5 linked regions of the Sus scrofa genome follow. The protein of the gene in region 2 purifies or fractionates together with the protein of the main gene of each other region. This does not show direct contact. Links are inferred from orthologs where the notes say so. Each region holds a gene or a part of one and is shown on either strand. Other genes may lie near its edges. The genes, in order: COPRS, RIOK1, CLNS1A, EFTUD2 and WDR77.

Region 1 (6,070 bases), on a different chromosome or scaffold from region 2:
AATGGCAGAAACAACCCAAACAGCTATCCGCTGATGAATGGGTAAATAAACTGTGATGGAATTATTCAGCCATAATAAAGAAATGAAGGTACTGCTACCTGCTACAACATGAACCGTGAAAAAACCATGCTGAGTGAAAGAAGTCAGACATAAAAAAACCGCATATTGGAGTTCCCACTGTGGCGCAGCAGAAACGAATCTGACTAGCATCCATGAGGATGCAGGTTCAATCCCTGGTCTCATTCAGTGGGTCAGGGATCTGGCATTGCCCTGAGCCGTGGTGTCGGTCGCAGACGCAGCTCAGATCCCGAGTTGCTGTGGCTGCAGCAGAGGCCGGCAGTAGTAGCTCTGATTCGACCCCTAGTTTGGGAACCTCCATATGCCATGAGTGAGACTGTAAAAAAGGGGGGGGGAAATATACATATATATATCATGTAACTCCATTTATAAGCAACTCATATGTGCCTATACGGAACAGGTAAATCCACAGAGACAGAAAGCAGATCTGTGGTAGCCAGGGGCTCAAGAAGGGGAGTGTAGGGGGTGACTGCTTCTTAGATACAGCGTTTCCTCTGGGGGCCAGGAGAATGTTCTGAAACTAAACAGTGGTGGTGACTGGCCCAATATTGTGATTGGGCCAAATGCCACTGAATTGTACACTTTCAAATGGTTCATGTTATGTGTCTTCTTCCACAATCTTTAAGGTTTTTGCTCTGTAGCTCGGTTTCCTCATCTATCACAGGCAGATAGAGCCATTGTCAGGGTTTTTAAAGGAAAAAAAAAAAAAAAACCCACTTAGAACTGTACATGGCACACAGTGAGTACTCAGTGAAGTGTTAGCTGCTAGGACTACCCCTATTTATGTGCTTGGTGCTTTATCCAGACCAGCACTGGCCAAGAGAACTTTCTGTGATGACGATAACATACTTACTACAATCTGTGCTGTCCGAAAGGCTAGCCATGGCCGTGTCTGACTACTGAGCATTTGAAATGTGGCCCATGTGACCAAGGAAGTGAATTTTCCACTTTATTTCGTTATAATTAAACAGCTATTTGGAGTGGGGATTTCAGTTCTACATCCTATCACCCCATCCTCAGACAACCCTCTAAGGAAGTATTATTATCCCCATTTTAAAGATAGAAAAAGGATAAAAAATATAAAGCCACAAAACTAAAGCCCAGGACCCAGTCCCAGAGCTGAAAGGGAAACAATTTCAGCCGCCTGCAAAGCCTGCACACTTTCCGCTGCCCTGGGCTGTCTTCCTCGGCAGAAGGGGTGGATCTGGACCCAGGCCCAAGACTCTCTTGCAGGGGGAGGGGGGGGGCTTCCAAACGAGAAGACGCCTGAAACACTAGGCAGAAAAGGCAACCGGCTGGGGAAGAGGAGGGCTGGCTACAAAGAGGAGGTACCTAACCAAGCCGGGGACCGACCTTCCTTCTCTGTCACTTCCTCGGTCTTTCCCAACACCCACCTCCCCCCAGGCTCCGCCAGCTACTTGCCTAGTCGATCCATGGCCTTCTCAGTCTCTCTCTCCTGACCAGAGTGGTCAGCCAGCACAAAGGCAGCCTGCGGGAAGAAGAAACAATTACCCGGGCCTTGGAGGCCTGCGGAGAGCCAGGATTTCAGCCCCACTTCCACCCTTCCATAGCGCACTTCGGGAGGCTGGGGTGGGGACTCTGCAACCCACGTTTCTGCTTTGCCGTGTCAGGCTGGGCCAAGCCCGAGGAAGAAGGGCCCGGCTCCTTCCTACTCCTGTAGGGACGGGCCGGCAGAATCGCCTGCCTTCCTAGCTGCCTGCATCCAGCACGCGCAGAGCCAGCCTCCTGCCCAGCCCTCTCCTGAGTGCTCGGAGTCACAGGTCCTCAGGACCCCGACGCCAAGCTCAGAGACCCCAGCACTAGCCAGGGCAGTGCCCCCTCTTCTGAGGCTGGAATTTCAGCGGGCTGCAAAGCCTCTCCCCTGTAATCATTCCAACCTCACCTCTTTTGTTCCCTGAGCCCCAGGGCTTGGTTTGGTTTCCTACAGCAGCAAGCTCCTCCTTACCTTTTCAGTTACAAACCGACTTTTATCTAGGGAACAGCTCTTTTTATCAAATGCTGTCTCCTGATGGATCCATGGGGACAAGAGAGCTTTTTTAGGCGATGAAGGGAAATCTTCCCTCATAGCCAACCATGTGCTTTTCTGCTCCCATCACTCAAAAGTTCCTGAAACCCCATCACCTGTAAGACCTCTTTCTAAGTGAAATACTCACAGCCTGCATGAGAAGACCTGATTACAAGCCCATTCATTCAGTGTGTACCCTGGACACAGCACTTCAGCTACCATGCCTGAGTTTGTCAGGACACGGGGGATGCCTGTTCTGACTTTGTGGGAGGCTTATACTGAGATAACACTCATGAAAACACCTAGCACACGGCAAGAATATAACATCTGTTGCTGTGTGTCTTTTTAGGGCCGCACTTGTGGCATGTGGACGTTCTCAGGCTGGAGGTCGAATCAGAGCTACAGCTGCTGGCCTACGCCACAGCCACAGCAATTCGGGATCTGAGCCACATCTGCGACCAAAACCACAGCTCATGGCAACGCCAGATTGCCGACCCACTGGGCGAGGCCAGGCATGGAACCTGCATCCTCATGGATGCTAATCGGATTTGTTTCCGCTGCACCACAACAGGAACTCCCATCTGTTGAATTTTAATTCACCTTCTTTGCTCCTAAAGCTACACTGCACTTGGCACCTGTCCCAATTAGCTCATCATCTGCCTGGATTTAATGAGTTAATTCCACCTCCTATGGTTAAGTGACAACTCCTGGTCACTACTGCTGGCCAGGAGTGGGACCTCTCACTTCTTCCACTGCAAGAGCCCCCTAACTGGCTTCACTCACCCATCTTGCCCAGCCTGACAGCGCTAATCAATACTCTGCTCCGAAGGCCTCCACTGTGGGACCACAAACTTCTCCATGGCCTCCAGCCCCATCAACCTACGGAGATAGTTCTCTCGCCCAGCTCTGGGACCAAAGCTCCCGGCCATTCGCCCTGCACTTCCTCACCTCCAGACCTTTGCCAGGAACAAGCATCCCCCCGACCCTAGAGAGGAAGCGCACAAACCTTCCTGCTCTGCCCTGACAAAACCAGTCTCATCCTACCTGCACCCCCAAAGTAATTTTCTTTCTAAACCCATCACTACATTTTTTATATCTTTCTTTGGTTAAGTACTTTCTGTGATGCCTAAACAAGCATTCTATTCCTCCATCCAATTAATATGCGTGTCTGTGGTGTCAGGCACTATGCTGGTCACCTGGTTAACCAGCACTAGAGGGTTCCTACCTCAACGAGCTCATGTCTAATAGGGATTATTGACTGTAAACGGGGCAGGACATGACTGTTAATGGTGGTCCGGCGCGCAAATGAAAACAAGTTTCTGGAAACCCTGCGTCAAACGCGGCCTTTTGCTTTCAGTAAAGGTTAGAGGAGAGAGCGCAGCAGACATCATCTGGTGCTCAGGGTTAGCTGAGCATCGCCACGAAGGGACATGGATCCGCCAGAGAAGATCGCTCTACTCGCTGCCTTCACCTGGCCCCAGCCCAGGCCCAGCTCTCGGTCAGCAGCATCACCGCCCATTTAGCAAGGACGCCGAGGCGCTCGTGGGCCGCCAGCTAGACCTCTCCGCCCGGCGCGCCCACCCACGACCACGAGGTACCCTGCTCCGCCGCCCCGCGACCCGGCCGTTTCCAGCTCGGGCGCGTGCCCAAACGGCGCTCCCCGTTCGCAGGGAGGCCCGAGGCGCTTCCCCGGCTCCGCGGCCCCCCACCCGGCCCGCCCCATGAGCCCCGCAACTTCCCGCCCCCGGCCGCAGGTGGTGACCGCGCCCAGGCCCCGCGCCGCGCTCACCCCCGGGGCGGGGGACGCCTCCCGCGCGCTCAGCTGCGGCCGGCCCCGCGGCGGCTCCGCGGCCCCCAACGCTTGGGCCCCAGCGGTGAGAGGGTCCATGCCCGGCGGCCAGCGGCTCTGAGCCCGAGACGCTCGCTGCTCAGCCACGTGACGCACCAGCCTGGCAGCCAGCCCAAGGATACGCCGCGGAGGGCCAATCAGCCGGGGGTGCTCCCGGACGGGGGGCGGGGCGCGGGGGTCACGAGGAAGCCGGGGGCGGGGCGGGGCGGGGCGGAGCAAGGGGGCGGGGCGAGCCCGACTGCAAAGGCCTCCTGCTCACGTACCCGCTCTGGAGTAGGATTTTGGAACGTCCTGACCAGGTGCGGACCCCAGGGCTGGATGACTAGTTGGGTCTGGAATGCCAAGTGTTATCCCTACGCAACCACACTGGATATGCTTCTGCTTCAAAACCTCGATTTCCTGTTAGGCGTCTACATGATGATGTATAAAACTCAGCTCTCAAAACTTCACACAGTTGAAGCTCCAACCGCATCTCACTCTTGTCTCTAAATAGGTTTCTCTGGAGCTTAGGCTGAAATTAGACTATAACTCACAAATGGATGAGACAACTCAGCAACCCAGTTATCCTCCACCTTGAGTTAGTGACTTCTCAAACCCGTTAGAAACCTAGGAATAGATGATCAAAACAAACTCCTACAACATGCAGACATCCTTATAGGCTGATACTTGGTCACAGTAACCCTAAACCTTCTGTACTGTGCTGGTATGGTCTCACCTGGGCTTCTCTCTTTTAATGCTCCAAGTCTGGCCCTCTACAACCTGAGGGCAGCAGAATTCTGACAGGCAGCGCCTGAGCAGGGGATACACCTTCCCTGCCTAAACTCCAATAACATATCTGCTCAAGGTGGGATAGTCATGTTAACCCTTAAGAAGCAGAAAAGCTGGAAGGTGGGACTCCTTGCTCACCAGGCCACCTTACCACAATCTGAGACATTAGAGGGCCTATTCCTTCATTTCCCTCAAGAATGTGCTGTTTATACACTATATAAAGCATTTGAACATTTTAGCCTAACAAATCATATGTCGACTTTCCCACAGGGGAGAGAATGTGACCAATTAATGTGTGTTCTGCTCCAACTCATGAGTTAGTTTCCCCAAATCTAACTGAATCTAGGTCAACAGTGTCCAACAGAACCATATGCCATGGTAGAAATAAAAGTTCTATTATCTGTGCTGTCTAGCATGGTAAATATGTGGCCAGAGTAAATGAAAATCTGAATTATCTAATTTCAATAAATTTAAGTTCCCACACGTGGGGAGAAGCTACCCCATCTAACAGTGCAGCTCTAGGTGAACTAGCTAGATGCACTTCCATAACCTGCAATGGTGAGAATCAGGTAGAGGGTTGTGTGACCGCAGGGTGACCCACCCTCACAAGCCTTGCTTTAAGGAGTCAACCACCCTGCTCTTCACTCTCATGTCTGAAATGTGACAAGTATCTCTTTCCTAAAATAAAAAAGCCCTTTAAGGATTTAAAATGTTGACCTTCCTAAGACTTACTGGAGAAGAGAAAGAGGAAATTTTTCTCATTTTAATATAAATGACATACAAACACCATAGAGAGTACAAAAGGTCCTAATGAAAATGCCCTAAAATGACTCTAATATTCATAGAAATATAATAAAGGTATTATAAATCAGTCAGAGAAAAATGGCCACAAATGGTATTGTGGAAAATTTAGTTCACTGCTTGGGGAAAAAAAAAAGAGTCGTCCTCATCAAGAGGTAGGGTTTTCAACAATAAAAATCAGACCCCACACATAGAAAACCTCTGGACCTCAAAAAAACACTAGAAGAAGAAAAAAAAAAGCTGGGGACACATCATTAGTAATAAAGAGACAAACTTAAGATTAGCATTCCTCATACATAAAAAATTCTTTATAAATTAGTTTAAAAAAATTCAAAAAATAGTCAAACATGAAAAGAGTACCAGAAAAAAACACAGTAACTACACTAATATCAAAGAAATACACAATAAAACAATGACCTACACCCCTTTACATCTATTAAAATGGGAAATATAAGAAATATAATATCAACAGCAGGTAAGGGTGTTGACTTTTCACACAGTGCTCCAAAGTATTTTCATACAAAGCAAAGTGACAGTACATATCCATG
Region 2 (5,559 bases):
TTGTTGTAAAGTGACACTGAGCTCGCCATAAGGCTTGAAATAAGGCTTTAGACTTGGTCCCAAGTTTAGTCAGAAAGCCTCTCCCGCCCTGTCTCAAGCAGCTCTGTCAATAGTTTTCCTAGAGTTCAGGTCAGGGGTGGTTCAGAGTTTGTTCGTTCAGCGGATTTAACACCCTGATATACTGCGTCTTTAGTAGGACCTGAAGCATAAGCAGATGGCTGGAACAGAACTCTGAAAAACAGAAGAATTTGCTATTAAGTTTGAGTTTGTTTGTGTTGTTAAGGGAACCTTTAAATTTATCAGTATAGACTTAGTCTATTATAAATGCATATGCAAGTCCATCTAGAGTCTGTGTAAACGTGCTAAAACATGTTACTTCTAGTGAAAAAATTGACTCGAAGACGGTCAGAGAGGATGTTCTGTTTGAAGACCTTCAAAATAACGTGAATGAGAAGATGAGTGAAGGTGAGATGGAGGAGGAGGAGGAGGAGGAGTACGATGACGACGACTGGGACTGGGACGACGGAGTCGGAAGACTCACCAGGTGCTACGCCTCAAGCGGAGGGAGTAACCCACAGGTACCTTGCAAATGATGCTTTACATCTCCGTGTTACTTACTTCTGTCTTCTTTTTGAAAAGGGCTTTTTGTGGTTCTGGAACTAACCGAAAGATTTTCATCCGGTTATATTGTCCTGTAGCAATATAGGTTTCTAGAACATGAAGATGTGGGACGGGCGGAAAAGCAAGAATGTTAAAAGAGCTGCTTTGTGGATTAGAATGCATACATTCTTGAAATAACCAAAAAAATTGCACACTTTCATGTGTTTCTTTTGTTTGTTTGTTTGTTTTGCTTTCTAGGGCTGCACCTGTGACATATGGAGGTTCCCAGACCAGGGATCAGATCACAGCTCCAGCTGCCAGCCTACACCACAGGCGCAGCCATGCCCAGTCTGAGCCTTGTCTGCAGCCTACACCGAAACTCCTGTAAAGGCTGGATCCTTAACCCACTGAGTTAGGCCAGGGATTGAACCCGCATCCTCGTGGATGCTAATGGAATTGGTTCCCTCTGCGCCACAGTGGGAGCTCCTCCACTGGTTCATTGCTGAGACCGAGCAGTTTCAGTGCGGAGTGGAATTGCTCATATTAAAGCGAGTGGGGGAAACACGTGCCCAAATGTTAACTGTTAATCTTTAGGTGCTACGCTTACAGGTAATTAAAATTTTACCTGTGGTTTCTACTGTGAACATGTATTATTGTAGTTTAAAATTTATTTTAGGACTTCCCATTGTGGCACAGTGGAAATGGATCTCACTAGTATCCATGGGGACACGGGTTCAATCCCTGGCCTTCATCTGGGGGTTAAGGATCTGGCGTTGCCGTGGGCAGTGGTGTAGGTTGTAATCGAGGCTCGGATCCCGAGTTGCTGCGGCTGTGGTGTAGGCCGGCAGCTGTAGCTCCCATTCTACTCATGTCCTGGGAACTTGCGTATGCTGTGTATGTGGCCCTAAAACGTAAAAAATAATAATAATGTTTCTTTTAAAAGTTATATTTAATAGGTAAAATTGTAAAGTTCTCTGCAAACAAGAAACAAGTCAGCCTCCAAGTTCATGCTCAGATAACAGGATGGAGTCAGGCATTGTGACAGGCCCTTTTATTTATTTATTTACTTTATTTTTTTATTTTTTATCTTTTTAGGGCAGCACCTGTGGCACATGGAGGCTCCCAGGCCAGGGGTCGAATCGGAGCTGCAGCTGCTGGTCTGTGCCACAACCACAGCCACACGAAGTAGGAGCAGCGTCTGCGACCTACACCGCAACTCACTGCAATGCCGGGTCTTTAACCCACTGAGCGAGGCCAGGGATTGAACCTGTGTCCTCATGGGTACCAGTGAGATTCGTTTCCAGCGAGCCACGGTGGGAACTCCTGTGACAGGCCTATTTAATCTCTGTTCCCTGGGCTGTGGATTCGGGTGGCGTCTCCCCTCTCTCCCCTTTCTGCTGTTGCATCAGTCTGCGCTGCACGGGTCTGAGTGCAGAGGCTCATGCCCTGTCTCTCCCTGTCTTGAGACACTGGGCCCAAAATGAAATTCCAGTTTAGTGTTGGTCTGAGCTCTTAATTATATACTTTGGGGGTAAACGAACCTTCCCAAATTTTCATCTGTAAGCCAATCCAATTAGAAAGATACATTTAATTTTGTTCTTTATTATAGTGAAGAATATATTGTAGGAGGCTAGAAACAAACACAAAAACACATTGTACAGACTCTTTATTTTTTTATTTTTGCCTTTTCTAGGGCCACACCTGCAGTACATGGAGGTTCCCAGGCTAGGAGTCCAATCGGAGGTGTAGCTGCTTGCCTATACCACAGCCATAGCAACACCAGATCCTTAACCCACTGAGCGAGGTCAGGGTTTGAACCCGAAACCTCATGGTTCCTAGTCCGATTCGTTAACCACTGAGCCACAACGGGAACTCCTGGGTTTTGTTTTGTTTTGTTTTTTCTTTCAGACTCTTCATTTTAGGCAATGACTTTGTCCTATTTCAGATGGCCTTTGTAAAATATTTCTTGGGCAAATTTGATTGATTTTTTTTACCTGAGGCTACTCTAAGTATTGGTGACTAAGGGACATGACGTGGTGAACTGCGGGCTTGTGTTTATAACAAGAGCTTTAGTCTCTGGGACTCATTTCTTCCAGCCAAATCGACAGACTCCCAACTGCAATTCAGCCAGAATGTCTACTCCAGCAGACAAAGTCTTACGGAAATTTGAGAACAAAATTAATCTAGGTAAGTGTATAAGATACGTTTCCTTGCTGGGCTATGAAGCAGTTCTTCAAAAACCACAAATGTGTTAGAAAATTTTATTAGATCAAGCAGTGGATATATTCAGTGTTACTAAGTAATGATGCTTAGAAAAAAATCAAAACTTAGTAATTTAAAAACATGGCTTCAAGGAAAGACTTTACATTTTTTTAGTTCTGTTTTTCTCTCCTTTTGTAGAGATATTAAGTTACAGATCGCATTCAAGTCATTGTCCGTTTTGTATTAGATTTTGTAATAAGATTATCTCGTGGTAGAATGTTGAAAATACTAAAAATTGGAACGTGATTACAGTTTGTTGTGTTAGAAATTTTTGTGTGGCATTAACTTTTTTGGGGGCTGGTGAATTTGGATTTGAATGGCTCTTGAAAAGGCGAGGTCCTCTCTCCCTGGTGACACTAACAGTTATGAGCCTGACACGGCGTCTCCTGGAACCTGTCATTTGCAATGAAACAGACATTTTAGGATAAACTTGGAATTCAGGCAGTTACGTTCTCTCTGTTAGTATAAAATATTAACTGATGTGTGAAATTCAACATGTGCAGGTAAGATGTTTTGAGGGATTTCTGGATCTAGATTTCTCTGGCTCAGAAATGACGGTTCTTGTGATAGAAGTGGTCATCCTTGTTAGAAGGAAGCACAATTACTGCCTGCCTTTCGAAACAGTAGACATCTTTAGTACTAAAATATATCCTCTAAGGAGTTCCTGTCGTGGCGCAGTGGTTAACAAATCCGACTAGGAACCAGGAGGTTGCAGGTTCGATCCCTGGCCCTGCTCAGTGGGTTAAGGATCCGGTGTTGCCGTGAGCTATGGTGTAGGTCACAGACGCGGCTCGGATCCCGCATTGCTGTGGCTCTGGCGTAGGCTGGTGGCTACAGCTCTGATTCGACCTCTAGCCTGGGAACCTCCGTGTGCCTCGGGAGCGGCCCTAGAAATGGCAAAAATAAATAAATAAATAAATAAATAAATAAAATATATCCTCTATGTATCGTAAGTAAAACACTTAGAAAATTGAGAAGGAAAAGTCCTATTCAGAAACTTTTTGTCTTACGTGTTATTTATACAGTGAATGTTTTTTTGGTATTTTTTAGATAAACTAAATGTTACTGATTCTGTCATAAACAAAGTCACCGAAAAGTCTAGACAAAAGGAAGCAGATATGTAAGTAATGTTTTCAGTGTATAAAATACAGATAAATAAAACAAAAGATGGCTGATAGGAACGAATTCTAGACAGATTACGTAGCATCTTGGTCATAATGCCTTTGCAAAGAATGTTTCTCTGTGTATCTGTCCTAATTCTTTTTTTTTTTTTTTTTTTTAAGTTTAAATGAGGGTATCCTATGCCTTTGTAGGTTGTAAATATTTTTGAGTTTTCCTAAGAAATTTGTACTAAAACTATAATCTTGTGAAATTTGCAGATGTGCTCTCAGAAAGGGAACAGTTTGTAGGTTTCAGTTTAAAATGGTAGCGTATAGGGAGCCTGTCGTGGCTCAGAGGTAACGAACCCAACTAGTATCCATGAGCACTGGGGTTCCATTCCTGACCTCGCTCAGTGGGTTAAGGATCCGGTGTTCCCGTGAGCTATCGTGTAGGTCGCAGGCACGACTTGGATCCCCCGTGGCTGTGGCTGTGGTGTAGGCTGGCAGCTGCAGCTCCCGTTTGACTCCTAGCCTGGGAACCTCCATATGCCACGGGTGCGGCCCTAGAAAAGACAAAAAAAAAAAAGCATTAATTCCCTTCCATGAAACATTTTTAAAAACTTAAGTGCAGATTTAGAACTAAGTAGTCACATGACAGAACAGTTTCCTTTTACAATTCTTTTCTCAAAGCCAAATGTTTAAGATCTGGCTAACCTATTGCAGATATTTCTAACGCGTTAGCAATATGTTATAGAAAGTAACTAAGATCATACAACTAGCACTGTTAAAACTTAACTTAAAAACCAGTTTTCTGGAGTTCCTATTGTGGCTCAGCTGGTTATGAACCCGACTAGTATCCATGAGGATGCAGGTTCAGTCCCTGGCCTTGCTCAGTGGGTTAAGGCTCCAGCATTGCTGCAGGCTTCAGTGTAGGTTGAAGATGTGGCTTGGATCCTGCATTGCCAGGACTGTGGTGTAGGCCTCACAGCTGTATGGCCCTAAAAAGAAAAATAAACAACAAAAAAAATAAAATCAGTTTACTTCCGTTTATTTTTTTTTCTTTTTCTTTCTTTCTTTTTTTTTTTTTTTTGCTTTTTTTAGTGGCTTTATTAGAGTTTTGTTTTGTATTGTTTTTGTCTTTTTTAGGGCCTCACCCATAGCCTGAGGTTCCCAGGCTAGGGGTCTAATCGGAGCTATAGCTGCCGGCCTGCACCACAGCCACAGCAACACCAGATCCGAACTGCATCTGTGACCTACACCACAGCTCAGGCAATTCCAGATCCTTAACCCACTGAGCAAGGCCAGGAATCGAACTCACAACCCCATGGTTCCTAGTCGGATTGTTTCTGCTGCGCCACGATGGGAAGTTCTACTTCTGGTTTATTGCTGTACCAAAGGGATACCAGTCTTTTGAGAAAAACCACTTGTTATCTCATTGGTGTGTCTGTTTGAATTTTTATTAGTGTATTTATTTATTTATTGTCTTTAATTCTGTCTAAAGTTTGTCTAAAGAAAGCAGTAATTCTGTACTAATAGAATCACTAAAGGACTCAGGACAGTATTTACACACCTGATGTTTTCTCTTTTCCAGCATAGT
Region 3 (6,037 bases), on a different chromosome or scaffold from region 2:
TGTAGCAACACTGGATCCTTAATCCACTGTTCCAGGCCAGGAATCAAACCTGTGTCCCAGCACTCCAGAGATACCGCCAGTCCTGTTCCACCACAGTGGGAACTCCTGAAGTATGGTTTTGTGACAGTGGAAAGGAAAACTAACTCATGATAAGAGGCAAAGCTGAGTGTCAGTGCAGGGCAGTCGCTGGGCTCATTCATCACCTCACTGCCTATCTTAGCAAAATGTTACAGACTGAGGGATAATTTGTGGCAAGTTATGTATGAATGTCAAGGCTCTTCTGTACACAGCCCTTTCCAGACTGACCTGGCCTACTTTCCAGCCCCATCATGTGTAGTGGTTGAAAGGGTGTTGGCTGTGCTGCCCTACTGCTCAGGTTCTAAGTCACGCTCTGTCACTTAGTTACTATGGACCTTGGGCAATTCAACCTTCTTATGTGTTTTCTTTTAAAAAATTTTTTCTTTCATTTTAGGGCCACACTGGAGGCATATGGAAGTTCCCAGGGTAAGGGTTGAATCAGAGCTGCAATCGCTGACCTACACCATAGCCACAGCAACGCCAGATCCGAGCTGCATCTGTGACCTACAACGCAGCTCACAGCAATACCAGACCCTTAGCCCACTGAGGAAGGCCAGGGATTGAACTGCATCCTCATGGATACTAGTCAGGTTTGTTACTGCTTAGCCACAACAGGAACTCCTGTGCCATATTTTAGATTCCACATATAAGTGATATATGGTATTTGTCTTTCTCTATCTGACTTACTTTACTTAGTATGATAATCTCTAGTTGCACCCATGTTGGTGAAAATGGCATTATTTCATTCCTTTTTATGGCTGAGTGGTATTCCATTGTACATATTTACTGTATCTTCTTAATTCATTCATCTGTCAATGGCCATTTATGTTTTTCTCTTTTTTTCTTCAAGTTTTAGCTACTTTGAGTAGTGCTTCAATCAACACTGGGTGCATGTATCACTTTGAATCATTGTTTTGTCATGGTACATGCCCAGGAGTGGGATTACTGGATCATACCGTAATTCTATTTTTAGTTTTCTGAGGAACCTCAATACTGTTTTCCACAGCAGTTGCATTAACTTACATTCCTACCAACAGTGTAAGAGGGATCCCTTTTCTCCACACCCTCTAAGCATTTGTTATTTGTAGACTTTTTTTAGGTGTGGGTGGATACCTCATTGGAGTTTTTTCTTTGGGGGGGCGCTCTCCCGGCATATGTAAGTTCCAGGCTAGGGGTGGAATCCCAGCTGCTGCTGCCGGCCTACACCACAGCTCACGGCAACGCGGGATCCTTAACCCACTATGCGAGGCCAGGGACTGAATCTCGCTGTAGTTTTGATTTCCATATCCCTAATAGTTATAGACCCGGGGATACGTGGCTTATGCACTAGGGCAGTGTCAGGACCTAGACGAATACCTAGGGCATAACTCTTAAGTTGAGGCCTGCACAGGCTGAGATGACGCAAGCAGGCGCGGTGAAAAAGCGGAATCCAGTTAGGAGACCGTTGACCTGTAAATCAGTGTGGCCTCTACTTTCTATGCATCTTCAGGTATGGACTCCCTATCTCACGCCTCCGTCTCCCCTTTTGTAGAAAAAGGAATTTATTATTCCTGCGCCTCCTCTCTCCCAGGGTTACAGTGATGACCCTGACCTAGGATGCCGTTGAGAACGCTCTGTCATTCCAAGCTTGGGGCTTCAGAAAAAGGAGGGTGACGGGAAACGGCGTCACTGCGACACACCGGGGCCTCTCTGGCCTCCGAGATCTTGCCCTAGAACAGCTCGTCTCTATGGCAGACAGGGTTAAATTCCGGGGCGGCTAAGTAGCTCTTCCGGGGTCATCGCGGCCGTTTCCGGGGCGGGACGCCGCGAGCGGGGTTTGTGGTGCTTCGGCTCGCTGGCGGCCTGTGTCTGTGAGCTCCCTGCTGCAATGAGCTTCCTCAGGAGTTTCCCGCCGCCTGGGTCGGCTGAGGGGCTCCGGCAGCAGCAGCCAAATACGGAGGCTGTGCTGAACGGGAAGGGCTTGGGCACTGGCACCCTTTACATCGCGGAGAGGTAGGGTCCCTGTTCCCTAGTGCGGGCGGCCTGCGCGCCGCCTCCCCCGGGCGCCGGCCTTAGGGACGATCGGCGGCGAGACCACCGCCTCGGGGGCTGCGGGGCGGGCTGCTGAGAGGAAGACTCGATTGTTCCAGTGTCCTGTCCTCGGTGCCGCCTCTTCTCTCTTCCTCAGGCAGGGCTCTCCTCTTTAATTACGCTTTTCCCCCGCGGTCCGATAAGAGTGTGGCTCTCCCTCAAGGGTGTCGTTTTAAAATGTTGAGTTTCCAGGCCCTGAGTTAGAGTCATCCATGTGCCTGCCTCCTGCGAGGAGCAGGCGTGAGAGCTGTTGCCCTGGGCAGGCTTGTAGGTTTAGGGCAGACTGTGCAGGGTTTTGAGAGTTTGGGTAAGGCGTATAGGTTTCTTTCTGTAGGTGTGGGTGGGAAGAGGAACATCCTCCGTTTCAGGGAGGCTGGGTTATATCCAGAGGGACCTTGCTCTCATTGTCATTCCTGGAAGGAATCGCCTTTTTATTTGAGTACCCGGAACACTATGTACTTTCATTGTCACATAGATATGTCTTAAATATCGAGGTGGCAGAATAGAGGTACCTATTTCCAGGACATAGTTCATTCTTTTTTTTTTTTTTAGGGCCTCACCCAGGGCATATGGAAGTTCCCAGGCTAGGGGTCCAATTGGAGCTACAGCTGTCAGCCTACACCACAGCCACAGCAACGTGGGATCCAAGCCGGTGTCTGCGACCTACAGCGCAGCTCAAGGCAGCACCGGATCCCCCACCCACTGAGTGAAGCCAGGGATCAAACTCGCATCCTCATGGCTCCTAGTTGGATTCCTTTCCGCTGTGCCACAAAGGGAACTCCGGTTCATTCATCTTCAAGCCAACAATGGCACATTGTTTTCTCCCTGTCCTTCAAATCTCTCTGACGTTTGTTTCTGCTGTTTACAGCCAGGGAGAATTTTCTGGTTATAAGAGCTCACATGGGAGTTCCCCCTGGGACTCAGCAGTAACCCAAGATGAGTATCCATGAGGATGCCGGTTTGATCCCTCGCCCTGCTCAGTGGGTTAAGGACCTGGCCTTGCTGTGATCTTGGTGTAGGTCGCAGATGTGGCTCAGTTCTGGCATCGCTGTGCCTGTGGTGTAGGCGGCAGCCGCAGCTCTGATTGGGCCCCTAGCCTGGGAACTTTAATATGCCCTGGCTACGGCCCTAAAAAAGAAAAAGAGCTTACATGATTATATGGGACTCACACAGATGTGCCAGGATAACCTCCCTATTTTGTCTTCAGTTGATTAGTATCCTTAATTACATACACAAAGCCCCTTTTGCCATGTTACCTAATATATTCACAGAAGATATGAAAGTCATGGGGGCCAAAACCTCCTGCCATAGAGGGCACAAAAAATGTAAAGAATGCTTGGTTTAGAGGGAAATCTAGTCATTGAGCAAACTTAGGAGTTTGACTAGTCACTGAGATAGGAAATGTGGATGGGAAGGAAAGCAAGTTTGGGGTAAGGAGCAGTTCATGAGTTTAGTCTGGATATGTGTGAATTAGTTGCACATATGAAGGGGTTTCTTGGGAGAGTGGTACTAAAGATGGGTAGACAAGAAGGCCAAGGATGGAAACCTGGAGACACAGCTACACCAAGAGATGATGGAAGAAGAGACTTAAGGGGGAGGAGCAGTCAAATAAAATCACATCTGAGAAGCACCTGTTGGGTATTGACAAAGACATCTTTAGTGATCTTGGGGGAGCAGTTTCTTTTAAGGGGTGGAAAGTGGAACACAGATACAGTCCTAGCCCTACAGAATCCCTTTTTCTCCATGGCTTCTCTGTGTATTGGCTCTTCTGTAGTATAACTCCTGTTTTGGAAAGGTTTTATACTTGTTTTTTCTTTTGGAAAAATTTCAGACCTAAAAAATGTTGCAGGTGTTGTTAATACCCATAGCCCCTTCACCAAGGATTCATCAGTTGCTGACATTTTGCCACATTTATCTCTTTTTTCTGATTTTTTTGGAGTTTCAGACACGTTGTCACTTCACCTATAAATACATGAACAAAAATCTCCTTAGAATAAGGGTATTCTTTTGTATAATAACTACAGTACAGTTATCACACTGAGGAATTACAAACTCCTTTTAAGCTCTTATCAATTAAAAAAAATTTGTTTCCAGAGCTCCTGCTGTGGCCTAGCAGGTTAAGGATCTGGCGTTGTCTCTGCAAAGGTGCCCTTTCAATCCCCGCCTGCTGCAGTGGGTTAAGGATCTGGATTCGATCCCAGGCCTGGGAACTTCCATATGCCATGGGCGCGGTGGAAAAAGAAAATTGTTTTTCTTTATTCAGCTTTCCATTAGCAAATCTTTTGCTTCTTTAATAAAATATTTTTGTAAAATATACATACGGAAAAGAATATAAATTAATGTGTGGTTTAAGGAATTATAATTAAACTAATATAACACTGCATAACACCGCCAGGTTAAGGATAGAGTATTACCAGCCCCTTGGACACTTTTGTTCACCCCTCTTTACTCAGTGCTAGCTTACCTCTGTGGTCTCTTGCCCCCTTTTGTTTTTTCCCACCTTGATTTTCCAAATCCTGATAGAATCAAGGTCTCAACAAACTGGGAAGGGTTCCTAGAGGGTGTGACAGATGAGGAATAAGAGTGAGATAGGGCTGAAAAGAAATGTTCCAATTAGAAGAAACAAGATGCTCAGAGGCTAGGGTGAGAAACAGTATTGTGTGCCAGGATATAAGTGTGTAACACATGCACACTCGCAGCCCCACACTTCTTCATCCAAGGGTCCAAGGGAGAAAGAGTGAAATACAGTAAAACTAGAGAAGAGAGCCTTGTCATGAGCTTGGTTTGAGGGACGGTATTTTAGGATTTTAGGCAAAGAGAGGCAGGGTTTGATTTAGTTTTAGGTAGTTTCTCAAATTACTTTAGGGCTTATTGTCAAAGCTTAATTTTCATAGGAAGTTGACTTCTCCAAATAAGAAAGGGAACAGAGTCATGAATCATTCACAACAGAGCATTTGATTCAGATGGAATTGGAGTTCCTGTCGCAGCTCAGCAGTAACGAACCTGGCTGGTGTCCATGAGGACGTGGGTTCAGTCCCTGACCCTGCTCAGTGGGTTAAGCCTCCACCATTGCTGTGAGCTGTGGTGTAGCTTGCAGTCACGGCTTGGCTCCCGCGTTGCCAATTCAACCCAGAGCCTGGGAACCTCCATATGCTGTGGGTGCAGCCCTAAAAAAAAAAAAAAGAAACAGGTGAAATAAAATAATTAAAATAGGTAACCTATAAACAATGCATTTTCAAATGTCTTATTACAAAATTAATTTTTCAACAAATAATTAAGCCAGTGCAAATTTAAGACCTCTTAGTTTTCTGTCCTGTTTTTCTCCCTGTGCTGGGAATAAAGTACACTGATGGTACTTACACAACCGCATTGGAGGTTAGCAGGAGGTTCCTTTGCCGCTTGACAGGCTTTCTAATTCCTGTTTTCCTCTTTTGTGACTCATGGTTTCTTTGGGACTAGATATAGTTAATTAGACATTTTGATTTTGAAGGGCTTTTCTTCTAGAATATATGAAAAGAGAATAAATAAAAATCAAAACTTAGTGGCGTTCCCGTCGTGGCGCAGTGGTTAACAAATCCGACTAGGAACCATGAGGTCGCGGGTTCAATCCCTGCCCTTGCTCAGTGGGTTAACGATCCGGCATTGCTGTGAGCTGTGGTGTAGGTCGCAGATGCGGCTCAGATCCTGTGTTGCTGTGGCTGTGGCCTAGGCCGGTGGCTACAGCTCCGATTCGACCCCTAGCCTGGGAACCTCCATATGCTGTGGGAGCGGCCCTAGAAAAGGCAAATAGACAAAAAAAAAAAAAAAAAAAAAAAAAAACCACAACTTAGTGATCAGAGTAAATGTTGCTTTTAAGTGAAACCTTCTTCTGTAGAGTACACAATCCATC
Region 4 (5,559 bases), on a different chromosome or scaffold from region 2:
TTTTTTTTTTTTTTTTTTTTTGGTCTTTTCGCCATTTCTTGGGCTGATCCCTCGGCATATGGAGGTTCCCAGGCTAGGGGTCTAATTGGAGCTGTAGCCACCAGCCTACACCACAACCACAGCAACGCCAGATCTGAGCCACGTCTGTGACTTATACCACAGCTCACGGCAACGCTGGATCCTTAACCCACTGAGCAGGCCAGGGATCAAACCTGCAACCTCATGGCTTCTAGTCGGATTTGTTAACCATTGCACCACGACAGGAACTCCTCCTGTGTTTCTTAAATGACAACGAGTCCTATCATCTTGAGCTTCTCTGGGCAGGGGGTGAGGGACTCACTGAGAACTGATTTACACCTTTATTTGCTGCCCTAATTTTAAAGCAAGTATGAGCCTCAATCTCAGAGACGCTCACGTTCTCTGGCTCCTGGCTCAGCTCACTCAGAGCTCTGGGCAGTGTGTAGGGCAAATATAACAGGGAGAGAGGGGTCCCAAAGGACAGAAGCAGACTCACGCCCTCGGCAGCATCAATGAACAGGACCACTCCATCTGAGATGCGCAAGCCAGCTGTGACTTCATCAGAAAAATTCACATGCCCTGAAAAGCAAATACCAGGTAAGTTGCCACTTGTGTGGATACAGGCTGAGGCACAATCAACTTGTATGTGGTCTGCAGGGCACTGCAAAGCATGTGAACCCACAAAGAGCCCCGTTCCCTTCTCCCCACAGCTCCCTGCAGTGTATAAAATTCCACATTAGGAGTTCCCTGGTGGCCTAGTGGGTTAAGGATCTGGCATTGTCACTGCTGTGGCTTGTGTTCAATCCTTGGCCCAGGAATTTCTGGATGCCATGGGCATAGCCAAAAAAAATTTCCACGTTAGTGTCCCATCCTTGGATTGTGCTTTTATACAGGAGGCCCCCAAACATAAAAAGGAGGAAATGTTTTACCAAGCAGGGCATAATGCATTCCACTCACACCCTAGCTTAGTCTAACCATCAGTGAGTCGAATTCTGTGGGACAGAAGACAATCTGGAGGCAGAAAAAAAGGCAAAGGAAGGGCTTTAGCATGGAGCTGGTTCCTGGCAAAGTGCTGCTGCTGGGTATGGGTGGGGGTCAGGGGCTAAGAAGTAGGAGGGCATAGGGCACCTGATGGGGCAAAAGGCCAATCTGCCAAAACCCAGATTTTCCAGAATTCCCATTGTGGCGCAGCAGAAAGAACCTGCTTGTACCCATGAGGATGCGGGTTTGACCCCTGGCCTCACTCAGTGGGTTGGGGATCTGGCATTGCGGTGAGTTGTGGTGTAGGTCACAGATGAGGCTCAGATCCTGCACTGCTGTGGCCCCCTAGCCTGGGAACCTCCATATGCCATGGGTGTGGCCCTAAAAAGCAAAAAATAAAAATGAATCAAGAGAAAAAGGCAACCAAGGGACAAGATATGCTGCTCCATGGCAACCTGTACATCCCCAGCCACTGGTAAGTACCCGTGGTCTCCATCAAAAGACTGAGATGGCCTGAGGCTGGGACCATGTCTGACTCATCTTTGTCACCCCAATGTCTAGCACAGTGACTGACAGGCTGAAACTAATATATGAATAAGATTCCCCCAAATTTAAATAGTCTAGAGCAGAGTCAAGAGAGGAATAAGACAGAAGACCTGGAGCACAGTGCTTGCTAATTAACTGGTTAGAAGCAAAGGAAACCGTTAAAAATGAAAATTATCATCTTAATGAACAGAATGTAAAAAGAAAGACATAATGCTCTTTTCTGTTCTAGAAATAGTAGGAGCACAAGAAAAAAATAAGTCAAGGTTTTGACAGTAAAAGGTCAGGAACATCCTACCTGGAGTGTCCATGATATTGAAGAGATAGGATTTTCCTTTGGTATCTGGCAAGACCACTGTCACAGGAGTACTTTTGATGCCAACACCCCTCTGAAAGTCACAGAGAGAGAGACAGGATGATCAAGAGCTCATCCTATGCAGGAGGGGTTTACTCTGCTTTGGGGGCTTCCCAGTTGCTAGTAAGTTACACCACTGTCTCTCCTTGTAGTGTGTGTGATTTTGTAACCTAGTCCTCTAATCAGAATGACCTTGAAGACAAACTATCTTGGTCTTAACAGCATTTCCCAGGATGGGGGAGAGTTGGTTCAAATACAAAAAAGTAAAAATAAAAGAACAAGCAAGCAAAGCAGTGGTAAACCATAATAGGAGAATCCACAGTCCTAAAATCTTATCTTCCTCGTACACTATAAATAAAAATAATTAAACATCATATAAATCAAAAGAAACTATCTGGGTTATTTTAGGTTCCTTTTTTTTTGGCTGTGCCTGTGGCATGTGGAAGTTCCCAGACCACACAAGAGATCAAACCCAAGCCAGAGCTGTAATAGCACTGATCCTTAACCTGCTAGGCCATGAGGGAATTCCTAGGTTTTTTTTTGTTTTTTGGGTTTTTTTTTTTGGTCTTTTTGCCATTTCTTGGGCTGCTCCCTCGGCATATGGAGGTTCCCAGGCTAGGTAGGGGTTGAATCGGAGCTGTAGCCGCCAGCCTATGCCAGAGCCACAGCAATGCAGGATCCGAGCCACGTCTGCGACCTACACCACAACTCACGGCAATGCCGGATCATTACCCCACTGCACAAGGGCAGGGATCGAACCTGCAATCTCATGGTTCCTAGTCGGATTTGTTAACCACTGCGCCGCAACAGGAACTCCTTTTTTTTTTTTAAATATAGCGAAAGTTATAGTAGGAGTTGCTGCTGTGGTACAGTGGCTTAAGAATCTGATTGCAGCAGTGGAGGGGCAAGTTCAATTCCCCAGCCCGTCACAGTGGGTTAAAGGATCTGGCATTGTCACTGCTATGGCTTATGTCACTGCTGTGGTGTGGGTTCAATCCCTGGCCTGGGAACTTCTACATGCCACAGGCACAGCTAAAACCCAACAAAAAAAAGCCCAACTCCAGTCAAATATATACACACATATATTTTTTAAATAGCTAATATTTGTTGATTGCTTATCATATGCCAGCACCGTTTAGAGTTCCTTTGGTTAGTCAAACTTATACATTTGTGCTTTCCATGTGGTCATTTAAGAGAGACAGAAATAAAGGAGGGGAGTTCCCATTGTGGCTCAGCAGAAACAAATCTGACTAGCATCTGTGAGGACACAGGTTTGATCCCTGGTCTTACTCAGGGGGTTAAGGCTCTAGGGCTGCCGTGAGCTCTGGTGTAGGTCGCAGACGCAGCTCGGATCCTGTGTTGCTGTGGCTGTGGTGTAGGCCAGTGGCTACAGTTCCAATTCAACCCCTAGCCTGGGACCCTCTATATGCCATGGAAGCAGCCCTAAAAAGACACACACACACACACACACACACAAAAAAAAAAAAAAAAAAAAAAGGAGAAGAGGAAACAGAAGGTGTTAGAGGGGAGGGATAAAGATCCCCTCTAGATGGAAAGACTAACCAGATGGAATGGAAAAGACAGAGATATACGTGCACTCCTTTACAGAGAAAGAGAAGAACAAAGAGAGATGAACCTCTTCTCTAAGGGAAGCTGCCCCTAGGAAGAGCGACATATGGATGGAGTCATCCTATAGATTTTAAGGATGATGTCATTTTAAAAATCATGTTTGGCTTCTGTATAACTTACAGATAAATGTACACACCACCTCTTGGCATCTGCCCCATTAGGCTAAATTAAATCCAGGTAAGGACAGGAGGGTCTCTCCTTTTATCCTACAGTTTGCCTACCCAGCTCTCTTTCAAGTTAGAGATCATGGGACGAAGCAGGGAGATAAAGAGGTTGAGGGATGGGAGTTATGGGGGACGGGTGCTGTATGGGCCAAAACGTTATCATAAAAACTTTCCCTACAAAACCACCACTGCTGGGTCTGGTGTGGCAACAATCAGATTCCCAAAGGCACACTTACCTCTTGCTCTGTGAAGAGGATGTCTGTGTAACACAGCTGAAAAAAGAAAAAAAAAAAAAAATGTAGTTACCACCTGAATTCAGATTCTTGCCACCCACAAACCATCAATCATTCCCCTCACCCACTCCTAACCTGGGGGCCTCTGGCTCAGGAGGAGAACAGATGGAAGGCAAGAGGGTGCGCTACAGAGAGTTCAATGAGACTAGGGCCCTCCCAGGTGGAAAATGCTCCTGGATGGTTTTATGGGGGGAGTCAGGGAAGTCACTAAGGACCGAGGTGGCTGGAGAGCTAAATCACATCAAATGCATTGAATTCTGCACAGTGGTAAAGGAAGACACCTCTAGCCTTCACGGAACACCCGCACATCAAAACAGTCAATCTGGCGGAGACTGAACAGTTATTGCACTGAGACTTGCAGCCACACTGGGCCTCATTCACAGGCATTTAAATTTATCATGGAAACAACAAGGTCCAACTGTATTATATTTATAGAGTAGGCTATTAATACTATGACAGGAAAGAATAGGCTATAAAAGTCAGGATATATCAGAACACAGGAGGGATCTCAAGTGCAGAACAGATCATCCAAAAATACTGCAGGTTAATATTCTCTATGTTCCTGAGAAAATGGAAATTATTTTCTTAAGGGCTATTAATAGAAATTACAATTATGAAGCAGCATATTATAGGCATCATTACTTATAATGAGAGTGGGAGGTTAGAAGGAAGGAGAAGGAGAGACACCCCCCTGTGTTCTGAATGGTTCATCCCAAACCCTCCACAGAATTTCTACTTACATCTTGGTCATAGCGCTTTCTGATTTCCGGGTGAGTCTGCTCTATTAAACAATCTACAAAACACGTCTGCAAGGGAAAAGAAAGTTATGTTCTGCTGGCCACAGAGGAAAATCGACTCCACCCTCCCCCAGTTACCAATACACCACACAATTCAGGGATAAGGAGAGGAGGAGGAGAGCAGGGGAGATTATGGGACAACAAAGAAATAAAGAAGCCACGGGATTATTTTCAAATGAAAGATGAAATCTTTCTTGGGCAAGCGTCCTCCAGGAAATGAAAACTTATAAAATAAAGTAAGGCCCAATTTCCCCTCTGCTGTCCAGATGTAGACACAAGGCTCAGGCATGCAAGTGGCTTAGCTTTCCATCTGCTGCTCAGGAAAAGCTGGGATTTCACGGCTCGGTTTCACAATAGGCTCCAGGGAGGCCCTGCAGAGTCAGGAGGTCCAGCCTTATGGCCTCAGACCCCAATTAGTGACTCTTAGGCTGAAACACTCAGCAGAAACAAAGAGCAACCCTGTTCCAAGTTCCCTCACCTTGCCATGGTGGAGATGGCCACAGAGCGTCACGTTTCTGATGAGCTCCGAGTTATCCATCAGATCTGCCAAGAAACTGAAAGGAGAAAGGAAGAGAGAAAAGGGACTCTGGCAACGGTTTTCAAACAAAGGAGCGGTGCAGAGATGTTCTAGGTATTTTTGGCCAGGAACAATTTTCAGCCCAACTGGAGAATGTTCCAAGGCAGACATGAATTTCTACCCCTACACAGTTCAGGCTTTGGGAATGGAACAGACTCATTTGTGAGGTGACATAATCTTGAAATGTCATGGAGCTTTCAAT
Region 5 (5,010 bases), on a different chromosome or scaffold from region 2:
TGAATTGTGGGAGCTGGATGAGAATGAGACACTCATTGTCAGCAAGTTCTGCAAGTATGAGCACGATGACATCGTGTCTTCAGTCAGTGTCCTGAGCTCTGGCACACAAGCTGTCAGTGGTAGCAAAGACTTCTGGTGGGTCCCTGATCTCATCACTCCTGTGCCTAGGCCTCCTTTGTGTGTCTTTAGTATCATGTTCGTTTCATTAACCAACATTTTAGACTCATTATAAGGACCTAGTGACTAATGATGGCATTAGAGATATTGCAGTCCACTGTAAACGTAGACCCATAACAGAAATCCAGGAGGCGAAGACATAGGATGTGTCAGTTAAGTGAAGTTCCCGAGAGCTGCAGTCAGGTCCTTAACCAGTTGCACCACAGCAGGAACTCCCTCGAAGTTCTTATTTGAATGCAATTTTTTAATGTAGGTGGTGTAGGTCAAAATTAAGTCTCTGATTCCTTTTGCTTCTTAGCATCAAGGTTTGGGACCTTGCTCAGCAGATGGTTCTGAATTCATACCGAGGTGAGTGCATGTTCTTTCCTTTTCAGTCCTGGCCTTGGCCGTTTTGTTTTTATTCTTCCCTTTGTGCTTTTTGAACGTTGCTTGGATGTTAATAAATCAATTCTTTGCTTTCCTGCCTGGTAGTTTTCTTCCAAAATGGTGGTCAGGCCCCACTGTTGATCCTTGCCCCTTAATTTCTCTATTTTTATTGACAGCCTCACCACCTTCTTGGCCACCAGTGGCTCAAACTCCCAGTCCTCTCCTACTCCTCCTGTTTCCCACTATCAGTTGGTCCCCAGGTCCTTTGGAGTGTTTTTTTCATTTGGTCCATGACCTTTTCCATTTCTTATGCCCCCTTTTACTTACAGGCTTCACACAGACAGTGGCATTTATCTCATCTCTCTACCTGTAATCTTTGGTCTTTCATTGATTTCTTGCGACTTACAGATTACAATCCTATGTTTATGTCATGGTGTTCGGGCTTTTTTTCACTGTGACTCTCCTTCAAGCATACCATGCTAGCTAAACCCAGTCACAGTAGATCTTTGACATTCCCCAAGCATAAACTCTGATGCTTGTGAATCTTGAACTTTTGAATATTCACCTCCATAAAATCTCTCTTTCTCTCTCTCTTTTTTTTTTTTTTTTTTTTTTTTGGTGAGAACCATCCCTTATGTTTCTTTTTCTGCTCACCTTAATGAATAGCACTGGCAGTTGATTTTATTTTGAGAGCCATCTTCATGAAGATACCAAATCTTTTTTTTTTTTTTTTGGTCTTTTTAGGGTCACACCCACAGCGTATGGAAGTTCCCAGGCTCAGGGTCGAATCATCAGCAACGCCAGATCCGAGCTGCATCTGTGACCTACGCTGTGGCTTGAAGCAATGCCGGATCTTTAACCCACTGAGCGAGGCCAGGGGTTGAACCCGCTTCTTCCTGGTTACTAGTCAGGTTCACTGCTGCTGAGTCATGACAGGAATTCCTACTGAAGATAGTATCTAGAGCATTAATGTGTGTGTGGCTAAGTGATGTAGATGGGGTGATTGATCACTGGTTCCCTCAATGGCTAAGTGCCTTTCTTTGCCAGTTCTCACTGCTAAGTGCATGATTCAGATATGTTGGGAGCAAAATCACAAACTCATCCGTCTCTTGGAGCTTCAGAGCATATATTTAGACAATAATGTTCGAATGTCAGTGCTCAAAGTCTGACATACTTACTTTGTGTTTTCTAGATGTACAGCGTGTTTTCCTGGTCAGTGCTAAGGAACTTTTTCATTGCCTGCCACCTTTAGCCTTTTTCTTTAGTTCTTTGTGTTTGTTCTTACTCTCTTGCGCTGATTCCAAATCCCTCCAGGGCAGAGGAACCACATATCTTTTCATCTTTGTACTTTCCCATTGCGTTTGTCCCAAAACTTTGCTGTTTTTAAGGAGCAGTATGTTGCTTTTCATCATGTTGCTTTTGCATGGATTCTCTGGAGGATGGTTTGAGGCCCCCCTCTTCCGTACCTGGGCGGAACCACATTCAGACTATCTCAGAAAGTCTGGTTAGTTGCTTTAGAGAAGGTGGTTTCCACAGCCTTTAATTAACACTTAGCATTGACCTTGAACATTTTTAGCCTGTAGCCCTAAGGGAGTCTTGAAAAACTGTACCCTTTCACATGTTTTTAAAGTGGTTTCTAGTTTAAATTGAGCTCATCGCAAAGAAAGTTGTATCTAGCCGTGCCATTTACGGTACACTTTTTCAAAATATGTTTGTCAGAATTTTGGATTTTCAGATTAAGCTCATTTGATTTATGTAAAAAATCTACCAAATAACCTAACTGCCAAAAACCAACTGTGTGTTAAAGTTGGCCAAGTGAGACTTGAGCACTTTTCTTGAAAAATCTGACACTTCGTTTTTAAATTCGTATGGACCTGTTAGGTGTCTTTATGTGACCACATGCCATATTTTTCAAAATTCTCATTATTAAACAGAAGAGATAAGCCACAGAACCACTCTAGGATTTGTGATGGGGATGAGAAAGGCCAGCTTCCCCCACCGAATTTTACCCAGATGCCCTTTCTTTTTTGGTCAGCTCTTCGGGCAAGCCCCTTTTGTTTTCTACCTTAGGTTTCTAGACTCCTGAGCATCGTAGCATGGTGGGCTTGGGGCGGGTGAGAGGTGCGTGTTTCCTTCGCACGGTGGGAGACGGGTGACTGAGGGCAGAGGTGAGCAGTGCTGGCAGCCTCTACATAGTGTCTCAGTTCAATGTGGAGAGAGAGCCTTGGAGCCATTCCCTCTAAACTCTCGGTGTCCAGAGCTCCCTCAGAAGTCTTCGTATGCGCCTGGAGGCACATAGGCCTCTGCTCTTCCACGGTCCTTGCTGTAAGTTCCCCTACTGTTTTTACCCAGCCTTTAATTTATCTTTCATGTCTGTAGTGATTCATTTTTCCCGAAGCCTTTTGAGGTTTTATAATGCTATCAACATTTCCTCTTAGGTTTTGTCTTATCCCAAACGCTCACGGAATTTGTTACATGGCATCACACGACTAGGCTTGTTTCTCACAGCCTCCCTCCTACCCCTTGATAGTGTCTGGACTGCCTCCATTTCTCCGTCGTATTTCTTGTTCTCTCTCCTCTGCAGCTCACTCTGGGCAGGTCACCTGTGTTGCTGCCTCTCCCCACAAAGACTCCGTGTTTCTCTCCTGCAGTGAGGTGAGCTAAAGCCTCTTTTCCCCTTCCCGCCCCCTAAGCGCACCCAGACCCTGTGGACCTCAGTCAGGTGTGGAGGGCTTCCGGCGAGCGGCTGCTTCCTTGGATCGTGAAGCCCTTTTTCTGTCCCTTTTTCTTCTAGGACAATAGAATTTTACTTTGGGATACTCGCTGTCCCAAGCCAGCGTCACAGATAGGTGAGTCTGAGAGCCGGTGGTGGGAGAGTGAACAAGGACCGAGTTCTCCCAGGAGCCCACCTGGAAGAGGCTTTCCTGGGCCAGAGTCAAGGGCGAAGGCGGCCCAGTCACTGACCCAATGGCATAATTGCTCTCCTACCCACTGCAGCTCTGTTGAGCCAGTTGATGCCGTGGGTCCCACAAGGAAGGGCTGGTTCCTAGGTGGGCGATGTACCTTATGTTGCCTGGATGAGGGAACGAAGGGGCCAGAGTTGTTCTCTTCCTGCTTTATCATTGAAACTTGCCCGTGACTCATGTCTGGCAGGGGCAGGAGGCTGATGGGGAGGTGCAGGTTGTGAGGGTCAAGGAGGAGAACAGACGGCCCTGGCAGGACTCACGATACCGAATAGGGTGCCGCCGGGATTTAGAGTGACTTCACCCGAGCAGCTTTGTCTCAGACCCTTCTTCTCCCCTTTGCAGGCTACAGGGCCTCTGGCTACCTGCCTACCTCGCTGGCTTGGCATCCTCAGCGGAGTGAAGTCTTTGTCTTTGGTAAGGCAGCGTGTGAAACTGTGGGACGACTCTGGGAAGGGGAGGATGAGCGAGAGAGCCCTGGCTGCCCACTCTGCCCACTTGGGCACTAGATGAGTTGTGCTCATGGGGGCGGGGAGGCGGAATGATCCGAAAGTGGTTTTGGTTTAGCTTTGGAGAACACGATGATTTTTTTCTTAGTAGATTTGACTCCTGATTGTCTGCTGTGGCTCTTGTGTTCTGGCATAGCTGGAAGTCAGGGGCCACAAAGCGAGTGGATTGTTACAGGGGGATTCTGTTGTGTGGAGGGGGTGGTGGTGCTGACGTGCCGACGTGGCTGTGCCTGTAGGTGCATAGTTTGTAGGAACCTAACAACTATGTCATCGAATAACCTAATAACTATAATTAACCCTGTTAATTTAATTTTCACAACCCCTAGATGACTAATCATTTCTACTTTACCAAAGAGGAAATTGATGCTTAGAGTGGTGAACTTGTCCAAGATTGAGGAACGAGCATCCAAATCCAGGCCTGGCTGAGTCCAAAGCCCATGCTCTTACCTCTGTGATGTCCCCCCTCTTTCCTTCAGGCGATGAGAATGGGACCGTCTCCCTTGTGGACACCAAGAGTGCAAGCTGTGCCCTCAGCGCAACTGTGCACTCCCAGAGTGTCACCGGGCTGGTGTTCTCTCCACACAGGTACTGTTCTTTGTCGTCGAGGGCCTGGCGGGTGTAAATGGGAACAGTGAGGGGAGATGCCTGTGTCGGCGGAGCACTGGCCGACTGGGTAGTTCCTTAAAGCAGGCACTGTTGTAGCTGAGCTTTCGGAATCTCAGTGAGGGGGCTCTTAACACTGCAGTCCTTTTGGGGGTTGTATGGTCTCTGACTGCAAATGGCTGAAATTCGGTGTTGTTCCTGCTCAACACCCACAGTGACTAATATTGTGGGCTTCTAGGGCTGTGTGGTTGGAAGTTGTTTCTGGGTTATTGATGAAGCTGTGGGGAGGGACCCAGTGAGAAGGTTAGTTGCTGGGATGCTTCTCAGCCCTGGCTTTGCTCCCTTTTCCTCATCTGTCTTTGAAACGTATACTGTAGACTTAGGTGTAGCCA

What was found.
Region 1: the proteins of RIOK1 (region 2) and COPRS purify together in Homo sapiens (affinity purification with mass spectrometry; 3 studies listed by BioGRID and IntAct, with this or other methods). This does not show direct contact. The link is inferred for Sus scrofa from reciprocal best matches to the Homo sapiens genes RIOK1 and COPRS.
Region 3: the proteins of RIOK1 (region 2) and CLNS1A purify together in Homo sapiens (affinity purification with mass spectrometry; 3 studies listed by BioGRID and IntAct, with this or other methods). This does not show direct contact. The link is inferred for Sus scrofa from reciprocal best matches to the Homo sapiens genes RIOK1 and CLNS1A.
Region 4: the proteins of RIOK1 (region 2) and EFTUD2 purify together in Homo sapiens (affinity purification with mass spectrometry; 3 studies listed by BioGRID). This does not show direct contact. The link is inferred for Sus scrofa from reciprocal best matches to the Homo sapiens genes RIOK1 and EFTUD2.
Region 5: the proteins of RIOK1 (region 2) and WDR77 purify together in Homo sapiens (affinity purification with mass spectrometry; 5 studies listed by BioGRID and IntAct, with this or other methods). This does not show direct contact. The link is inferred for Sus scrofa from reciprocal best matches to the Homo sapiens genes RIOK1 and WDR77.

What each region holds. Positions count from the first base shown.
Region 1 is NC_010454.4:43,089,214-43,095,283, reverse strand, and holds the start of COPRS (coordinator of PRMT5 and differentiation stimulator), read right to left. Parts: upstream 4,104-6,070; 5' UTR 3,993-4,103; coding exon 3,894-3,992; intron 1,568-3,893; coding exon 1,501-1,567; intron 1-1,500. UniProt on the Homo sapiens protein: Histone-binding protein required for histone H4 methyltransferase activity of PRMT5.
Region 2 is NC_010449.5:4,752,300-4,757,858, forward strand, and holds part of RIOK1 (serine/threonine-protein kinase RIO1), read left to right. Parts: intron 1-382; coding exon of another isoform or gene 383-455; coding exon 456-578; intron 579-2,696; coding exon 2,697-2,787; intron 2,788-3,912; coding exon 3,913-3,982; intron 3,983-5,559. UniProt on the Homo sapiens protein: Involved in the final steps of cytoplasmic maturation of the 40S ribosomal subunit. Involved in processing of 18S-E pre-rRNA to the mature 18S rRNA. Required for the recycling of NOB1 and PNO1 from the late 40S precursor.
Region 3 is NC_010451.4:12,109,484-12,115,520, reverse strand, and holds the start of CLNS1A (methylosome subunit pICln), read left to right. Parts: upstream 1-1,852; 5' UTR 1,853-1,945; coding exon 1,946-2,070; intron 2,071-6,037. UniProt on the Homo sapiens protein: Involved in both the assembly of spliceosomal snRNPs and the methylation of Sm proteins.
Region 4 is NC_010454.4:18,487,085-18,492,643, reverse strand, and holds part of EFTUD2 (116 kDa U5 small nuclear ribonucleoprotein component), read right to left. Parts: intron 5,335-5,559; coding exon 5,259-5,334; intron 4,790-5,258; coding exon 4,724-4,789; intron 3,963-4,723; coding exon 3,927-3,962; intron 1,932-3,926; coding exon 1,841-1,931; intron 598-1,840; coding exon 515-597; intron 1-514. UniProt on the Homo sapiens protein: Required for pre-mRNA splicing as component of the spliceosome, including pre-catalytic, catalytic and post-catalytic spliceosomal complexes. Component of the U5 snRNP and the U4/U6-U5 tri-snRNP complex, a building block of the spliceosome.
Region 5 is NC_010446.5:108,908,767-108,913,776, forward strand, and holds part of WDR77 (methylosome protein 50), read left to right. Parts: coding exon 1-135; intron 136-475; coding exon 476-525; intron 526-3,127; coding exon 3,128-3,198; intron 3,199-3,337; coding exon 3,338-3,392; intron 3,393-3,851; coding exon 3,852-3,923; intron 3,924-4,491; coding exon 4,492-4,600; intron 4,601-5,010. UniProt on the Homo sapiens protein: Non-catalytic component of the methylosome complex, composed of PRMT5, WDR77 and CLNS1A, which modifies specific arginines to dimethylarginines in several spliceosomal Sm proteins and histones.